2 linked regions of the Oryctolagus cuniculus genome follow. The protein of the gene in region 2 purifies or fractionates together with the protein of the main gene of each other region. This does not show direct contact. Links are inferred from orthologs where the notes say so. Each region holds a gene or a part of one and is shown on either strand. Other genes may lie near its edges.

Region 1 (4,339 bases), on a different chromosome or scaffold from region 2:
CACACCCCAGTCGCAGGTTTCCTAAGCAGCAGTGGGAAAAGCAATTACTGCTGGCAGGGCACAGCCAGGACCTCCAGCAAGGGAACAGCCTGACTGTGACAGAACCATTTTACTGTGCACGGTGACCTTTGCTGCTTCTCTACTGGTCATTATATGCAGACTCACAATGGAGTCTGACAACTCCAAGTTGTTTATGAAACTATTTCAGATATTCAAATATTAGTGCAAAACGCTAGCTTAAGAAGAATGAAAGAAAAGAGAGCAAGTCCAGGAAAACCAGCGTGGCAGCACAGAAAAGGTCACACTCAACAGCCTCAGTATCCCATCGAAGGCTGCTTCTCCCAGGGCTCCAGGCATCTCACACTGGGACACTGAGATGTGAAACATTCTCACTGCAAGTCGTGTCACAAAGTTCTCATATTCTTGGTATCAAGACTTCAAGACTTTTTTTTTTTTTTTGACAGGCAGAGTGGACAGTGAGAGAGAGAGACAGAGAGAAAGGTCTTCCTTTGCCATTGGTTCACCCTCCAATGGCTGCCATGGCTGGCGTGCTGCGGCCGGCGCACTGCGCTGATCCGATGGCAGGAGCCAGGTACTTCTCCTGGTCTCCCCATGGGGTGCAGGGCCCAAGCACCTGGGCCATCCTCCACTGCCTTCCTGGGCCACAGCAGAGAGCTGGCCTGGAAGAGGGGCAACCGGGACAGAATCTGGCGCCCCGACCGGGACTAGAACCCGGTGTGCTGGCGCCACAGGCGGAGGATTAGCCTATTGAGCCGCGGTGCCGGCCCTCAACTACTATATTAACAAGTAAAAAATTGAGTATTAAACCATATGTGAAACACCACCAAAGAGCAAATAAGCTTGGTATGACTACCAAAATGTTCAAGTTTTTCTTAACTGAAATCTTTCAACTCACCCAAATATAACCGCATTCCACTGCATGATGTTGTTTTCCGACGGTGCGCCGCTGACACCCACAGGTGGGTCCTCCTGCAGTCTGGAAATCCAGAGTGGTCGGTTTAAAAGCGAGCATTAGAGCCACGAAGGAGGCCAAAAAGAACACTTATGGCCTCTGTACCAGCTATGCGGAGACAGAAACCATACCCATTTCCTTGTTGTTGCACCGGGCTGCAGTGACTCACATGACTTAAATACATCACCAGGGATATTCTAACGCACTCATAAATACCTCTCACGACCTGGGAGTCATCCCTCTCGAGCTACTACAAGAGTAAAACATCTCTTCAAAAACGCCCGTACACAGGCTGCCTTCTTGCCCCACAGCTGTAAAACCTCAAGGGCAAAAAAAATATTTCCCCGGAACCATTGATGGTGCTGCTCCAAGCAGGCAGACTGTGCGAATCCAAACTACAGCTGCTTGTGCAACATGGTTGCAAAAAAGGGGCTTTGCAGGGCAAACCTCAGTGCAGACAGTGAGGGCCGAAAGCACCTGGGTTCAGGTTCATCAGGGTCTGGATTTCTGCATCCCCTGTGCTTCGCTGGGCAGCGGCTTTTCGGAGTGACCCGCAGCTGGGTTGCCCAGCAGGCTGCCTCTGATGGCGCTGCGCTCATGAGGCAGCAAGACCGAAACCTCCTCCTCTGAAGACCCCTGGAGGAGCACCAGGCTGCCTGCCATGTGTTCCCCCCAGCAGTAAACACTCGCCGCAGGAACTGGGCAACAATGGCACCGGCTGCCAGTCTCGCCTCTTGAATTTCAGTCATGGGAACGAATGCAACGTTCCTGATTCTAAGCTTCAGATGTAAGATTTCTACCCCAGAGGTCTGTTCCAGACTGTCCCCACACTAAAACTACTACATTAAGGCACAAATACAGAGGCACTCATTTGCACACAGTGCTTTGCAGTGAGCCACGTAAACACGGTTTTCAGTTAACATCGGGCAAACCAGGCCTCCTGACCGGAAGCCCGAGGAGCTGGACACCTCCTTGTAAATCGCTCGAGAAGCCACGAGTGAACTAACACGGTGGCCAAAGCGCAAACAATGGCTCCCAAATGCCTTACATAAGCCTTTACAATGGCCAAGTTGAGAGGTTACTTCTTGAGCGGCAAATCCAAGTTTTGATACCACCTACCAAGTCCCCATTAAGGCAAGTCTACCCCCAGAAAACCTCCGCTAAGTTCTCTCTCACTGCTTCTCTGAGCTCCGAGTAGCCCGCACAAGGCAACCAAACAAACCAAAAAAGGGGCAGTTTCCTCCCCACAACCCCCACACCTCAGTCACAAAGGGAGGCTCGGCGGGGCTCGGACGCGCGCCAGGGCCGGCGGGCTATAGATAGGGCTGCGCTCAGCGGCCCGAGCCCCGCTCCGACGCCAGCTCTCAAGGTCCTGGCAGGCGGCGGGGGCAGAGTCGGGTTTCGGGGATGGGGTAACCACCTCCCGACCTCGCGCGGCACACCCCACCCTCCCCGCGGGGCGCAAAGGAACGGGGGGGAGGGGGCTCCGGGCCCCAACCCCGTCCCCCGGGCGCGGAACAAAGCTGACCGCTGCAGCGGGCGAGGAGCAAGCTCCTTCAAGAGCTCGCTTCTGGGCCAGAGAGAGGGGGCGCCGCGCGGTGCAGGGCGCCCCAGGCCGGCCGATCGCCACCTCTCCACTTTCGGGGGATGGGAGGGGTCGCAGCGGAATTTCTGAGTCCTCAGAGAGGTTGGCGAGGCCAGCACCGGGCTTCCGTAGGTCCCGCCGGGCCCACAGCCGGCGCCTTTACAGGCAACAGGGGAAGGTGTCCGGGATCCCGCCCTGCAGCCCCACAGCTTCAGGAAGGAGCCGCCATCGGGGGGCGGGAGGAGGCCCTTACCGCTTGAAATCCCGCATGAGCCTCCTCCGCGCCGGGGTCGACATGCTCCCCAGCTGCCCCGCGGTCAATCTGAAAGAAAAAGAGTCCCGCGCAGCCCCCCCACCCCCCGGCGCGGCGGCCGAATCACTGTGGGTCACCGCCGCCGCCGAGACTGCACAAACAACCCCGCAATGACGTCTCCCTCCGCCGCCTCCAGATCCCTCCGCCCTCCGCCGCTACCATGGCAGCAGGGGGAGCCGGGCGGAGGAGCGGGCCGGCGCCGCTTCCTGCAGCCCGCCGGCTGCGATCGCTCCCATTCCGCCTTCTGTTACGGATCGACAAATTAGTGTTCTCCGTGCTCAGAGCAGAGGTGGTGGGTTAAGCGACACAGAAACGGAAATACTACTTTGTCTTCCCCCCTCGTCACGAACTTAGGTTCGGCGGGGTGGGGAGAGAGGGACCGCATCCGGGGCCAGAGATTTCGGGGAAAGGAGGAGGGATGACGTAAGGTCACGTGGCCGCCGCCGGCGTTGTCAACAATCCACCCCTGAGGGGGAGGGGACGAAGTATCTAGAACCACGTGTCCCTGTGACGCTTTAGAACGGGTCACGTGAGCGCGTCCCCTGGACCTGCTCGGCCGGGTCTGGGAAGCGGAGGGCGGGGTATGTCTTCATTAGTTGTTCCTCGCGTCTGTCCCAGATACCGGGACCTTACAGCCGGAGTCGTGCTGGAACGATAGATTGATTCCAAAGTTTAAAAAACGGAACCACAAGTAACTCAGGACTTCATTGTTATCCCTCATTGGCTTATCAACTTTGCTCCGTGGGGCAGGAGGGAAAACCGAAAGGCTGTCACCTTCTAGGGAGCACAACGCAAAGTAAAAGCCCCGAAATGTTTCCCCACGGCTGCCGGATGTCTGTTCCCGCCTTGCAGTGGGGTTCCCAAGGTTGCTACTTCTAGGTGAAGACAGAAGAGTTAAAAAGGCCCCATGGAAATAAGTTTTTAATGGGTCTGTGTTCATTCTAAGATAACGACGGATTTGCCTGCTCTTTGGATTTGTTAGAAAATGGGGGTGCACCCGCGTGAGCAGATCAGGAGTGGTTGGTTGTCAACGAAATCTACAAAAGGACTCAGATCTGGAGGAAGGCATCGTGGAGGCACGTGGGAGCTATATAGCCAGCCCCAGATAACTCATTTTAGATTTCTCTGCATTCGCAAGTAGGGTGCGAATGGGCGCAAGTGCCACCTCCTCACAGGTGTGGACTATGGGGACCCTGAACATTCCTTCAGGTGCTAAATTCCCCCTCCCTGTAGCCTCCGTTTCTGTCCTGAGGATTTTGTTGGTCTGGAGGGCTCTGAGCCCTTCCCTATGGAGGAATTCAGTTCTACAAGGAGAAGGAGGGTAGGATGAGAACCACCTAATTTCGCACAGAAATTGCCCACAGTTCCATGGAACCAGAAAGGGTTAACTTTCCCATTTTCCTGATCACAATCTTTTTTCAAGCCCTGAATTCTAGCTTTTGGTTTTAGTAGAGGCCTTGTGATCAAG
Region 2 (3,808 bases):
AGTGTTTCCCAGATACTTTTCAAACTTTTTACTTAGTCATTTCTTCTGGCAGACCTATAGTAATGTGATTTCGGTTTTCAGATAGGAACAGGCCAATACCATACTCAGGAAGTTGGAATATTCCTGTGTATTCATGAAAACTCTCTTTACTTCTAGGGAGCCTGTTTTAAGTATGGCCCTCATTATCTCTAAGGGATACCCACTAAGCAGAAAAGGGCAGTGCCGCCTGACCTTGCTGACCAGTCTAACAACTGAATTCAATGTTTGGCAATTTTTGGGTCAGTAGTAGCTTTAGGAAGAAGACTAAAACATGAAAATCTGTTGGTGTATTTAAAATGGAAAATTCCTGTAGTTTCACCATTTTTAAGATACTTTTAGTTAATAAGAATATTGAATATATTCATTCCAAATATAAATTATATACTATCTACCATTCAAATCTGAATGTTATTTCTCAGTTTGGAATTATGATATCCTTCTTACAAGCACAAATACTAATTTAAGAATATAAATCATCTATTTCGGTACTGTTACTTTTATTCAATTCAAAGTAACATCAGGGGCAGCCATTGTGCAACTGGGTAAATCAGTGCTTGGGATACCACATCCTGTATCTGAGTTCCTGGGGTCAAGTCCTGCTTCCACTTCCTCTCCGGCCTCCTATATATTTGCCTGGGAGGCAGAAGATGATCACCCAAGTACTTGGGTTTCTGCCGCCCACAAAGGAGACTCAGACAGACTCTGGACTCCTGGCTTCTGCCTGGCCCAGTCCCAGCTGTTGCAGGCATTTGGAGAATGAACCAGGGGATGAAAGATCTCTGTCCCCATGTCTGTCACTCTTTCAAATACATAAAACTTAAAAGTAAATTTCTCTCTTCAGTTTGGAGGGTCAAGCTTTGGTGTTTTAGTCTGTTCTACCGCAAAATGTTCTTTAAATAGTAGATTTGAATGTAAGTTTATGCTTTTTCATTGTGAAAGAACAGCTTGGTGCTTACCTGCACTTGAGCTGGTAAAGAAATTAGTCATTGTTGGTTGAGGGTTTCACCTGTCACTTTTGTGGTTCAGATTTTGTTTTTCTCCCTTGAGAGTCGGCCATGGCACGGTCATAATGGAATACTGTCATAAAAAGACAGGCTTTGGAGTCTGACTGAACTGAATTTGAATGACAGCTCTATCCCTTATCATGGCCTTAGTTGAGTTACAAAGCTTCAAACTTCAGTTTCCTCATCTGTAAGTGGGGACAGTAAAATAACCTGCTTAATAGGAGTATTTTGAGGATTAAATCTAGTACTGTAAGAGGTGCACAGCAACATGCTTTACTGCATGCTTCTCATATCATCAGCACTTAATATGTATTAGTAGCACCGGTAGTTGTGGTATTTAAGAAAGTCTATTAAATTCCAGTTCTGAAAAACTGAGTGAAATTTTTAACAATGTCATTAGCATCACTTAACAAATAATATATTTTTATTTCCATTGGCCTATATCTATTCTGGTTTCTTTTCTAAATTTTCCCCTGGCTGTTTTTCTCCTCAATATTGGAATTATATCTAAATCATATCTGTGTGCCTGTGATCATTTAAGAAATTTTTTATATCTTAAACTAAGCAACAACAGTGAAGTGCTAAATGTTCTGTCATCTTTTCTAGGTTAAATTTTTCAGACCAACCAAATCTGTCCCAATGGATCAGAACAGTATCTCAGCAAATAAAAGCATTACAAGCTCTTAGGAAAGCAGGAAGTGCTTCTGGTAAGTTCTGTTTTCATGTTTCCTTGCAGTCTGAGATCCTTAGAAATGTGTTTCCAGAAAATACTGTTTAAAAAGTATCTAAAAGTGAGGGATTAGCATTGTGGTACAGCATTTTAAGCCACTGCTTGGGATGCCAGCATCCTAAATCAGAGTGCCAGTTTGAGTGCTGGCTACTCTACTTCTAGTCCAGCTGCCTGCTAATGTGCCTAGGAAGGCAGAGGAAGATGGCCCAAATGCTTGAGCCTCTGTCACCCGTGGGGAAGACCCAGTTGGAGTTCTGGGCTCCTTGCTTTGACCTGGCCCAGCCTAGCTATTGCTGTCACCATGTTGCTTGTTTAACTCCCTTCCAGCAGTTGGAAGATGGATCTCTCTCTCTGTCACTTTGTCACTCTGCCTTTCCAATAGATAAAATCTTTTTCTTTTGAAATATTTAAAATTGAAACCTCCCGTTGAATGGTTTGACTCATTCCAGTTCTCTTTATAAGCTAAATTTTGCTTTGTTACATTATTCTTCATTCCTTGAAAACTTATAAGCTCATGTGAAGTTTATAGTAAGTACTCCTCACTTAGTCCCTCATTTTATTGAAAACCTTCTGGGGGTGTGGAAGATGTAGCTGAGTGCTGAAGAGCTGGCTCTGGTTCTGCCATGTGACTTGCTCGACTGTGAGCCGAATCAGAGGCTTCTTGCACCCCATACTGCCCGCAGGGAACTGAAGAAAATGCCTTGGTCAACCACGACAGTGGTTCATGCTTTTTTTTTTTTCTTTTTTAAGATTTATTTATTTTATTTGAAAGTCACAATTACACAGAGAGAAAAGGAGAGGCAGAGAGAGAGAGAGAGAGAGAGAGAGAGAGAGAGGTCTTCCATCCACTGGTTTACTCCCGAGTTGGCCGCAACGGCCAGAGCTGCACCGATCTGAAGCCAGGAGCCAGGAGCTTCCTTTGGGTCTCCCACATGGGTGCAAGGGCCCAAGGACTTGGGCTATCTTCTACTGTTTTCCCAGGCCACGGCAGAGCTGGATCGGAAGTGGAGCATCTGGGTCTCAAACTGGCACCCATATGGGATGCAGGCACTGTGGCGTAGTGGGCAAAGCTGCTGCCTGCAGTGCCTGTAGTCCATGCTTTACATGGATGCTATGCAGGTTTCTGTTTGTGGAAATTTTTTATTTTCATCCTTTTTTTTTATATCTATTTCTATGACCTATATGGCAGAAATTTATAGAGACATTGTGATTTGTTGAATAATGGTTAAAAAAATGCCTATTTCTGTAGATACCGCCTCTTCAAAGAATGTAGAAAAGGTGAATGAATTACAGCTACCTGAAGGGTTCAGGCCTGATTTTCAACCTAAGTGAGTATATTCTTTTATTCCTTTTAAATTTGGCCTATTTTAAATGAAAATTTAGTATCAACAGTTAGTAAGAAAGTGATTTGGTAAGCTAGGGAGCAAAATTGTTATAAGAACTAATCTTAAATTCTGAAGTTTAAGCATTACATGATGATATTTGTTGAAATATGTGTGTATGTATTTTTTTAAGTCGAAAAACCATGTTGCCTGTTTAACTGTTAACTACCCTCTCCTAGTCTACATTGCTGATCCCCTACTGTGTCTCTTTATCTGGCTGTCCTTAGTAATTCATCAGGACATGGAAATCCAAAACACTCAGCTTCCCTACCAAGTCTTGTGCTTCCTTCTGACTTCCGTAGTTCTATTTATGGCCCCACCAGCCTCTTGGTAACCCAGGATCAAAACCGAAGTATTGGGGTGGGCGTTTGGCATAGTGGTTAAGTCATTGCTTAATACATTTACATCGTATATCAAGGTGCCTGGAGTCAATGTCCAGCTCTGGCTGCTGACTCCAGCTTCCTGCTACTGCAGATCCTGGGAGGCTGCAGTGATGGCTCAAGTAATTGGGTGCCTGTGGTGCCTGCCACCCTCATAGGAAACCTGGATTGAGTTTCTGATTCTGAGCTTTTGCCTGGACCTAACCCCAGCAGTTGCAGACATCCTGTGGAGTAAATCAGCAGATGGAGGAGGGATTCTGTCTCTCTTTCTCT

Evidence for each region.
Region 1: the proteins of UBR2 (region 2) and UBE2B purify together in Homo sapiens (affinity purification with western blotting; 3 studies listed by BioGRID, with this or other methods). This does not show direct contact. The link is inferred for Oryctolagus cuniculus from reciprocal best matches to the Homo sapiens genes UBR2 and UBE2B.

Annotation. Positions count from the first base shown.
Region 1 is NC_091437.1:22,632,995-22,637,333, reverse strand, and holds the start of UBE2B (ubiquitin-conjugating enzyme E2 B), read right to left. Parts: upstream 2,859-4,339; 5' UTR 2,856-2,858; coding exon 2,812-2,855; intron 2,789-2,811; exon of another isoform or gene 2,233-2,788; intron 998-2,232; coding exon 917-997; intron 1-916. UniProt on the Homo sapiens protein: E2 ubiquitin-conjugating enzyme that accepts ubiquitin from the ubiquitin-activating enzyme E1 and transfers it to a E3 ubiquitin-protein ligase. In vitro catalyzes 'Lys-11'-, as well as 'Lys-48'- and 'Lys-63'-linked polyubiquitination.
Region 2 is NC_091436.1:127,283,166-127,286,973, reverse strand, and holds part of UBR2 (E3 ubiquitin-protein ligase UBR2), read left to right. Parts: intron 1-1,649; coding exon 1,650-1,750; intron 1,751-3,022; coding exon 3,023-3,101; intron 3,102-3,808. UniProt on the Homo sapiens protein: E3 ubiquitin-protein ligase which is a component of the N-end rule pathway.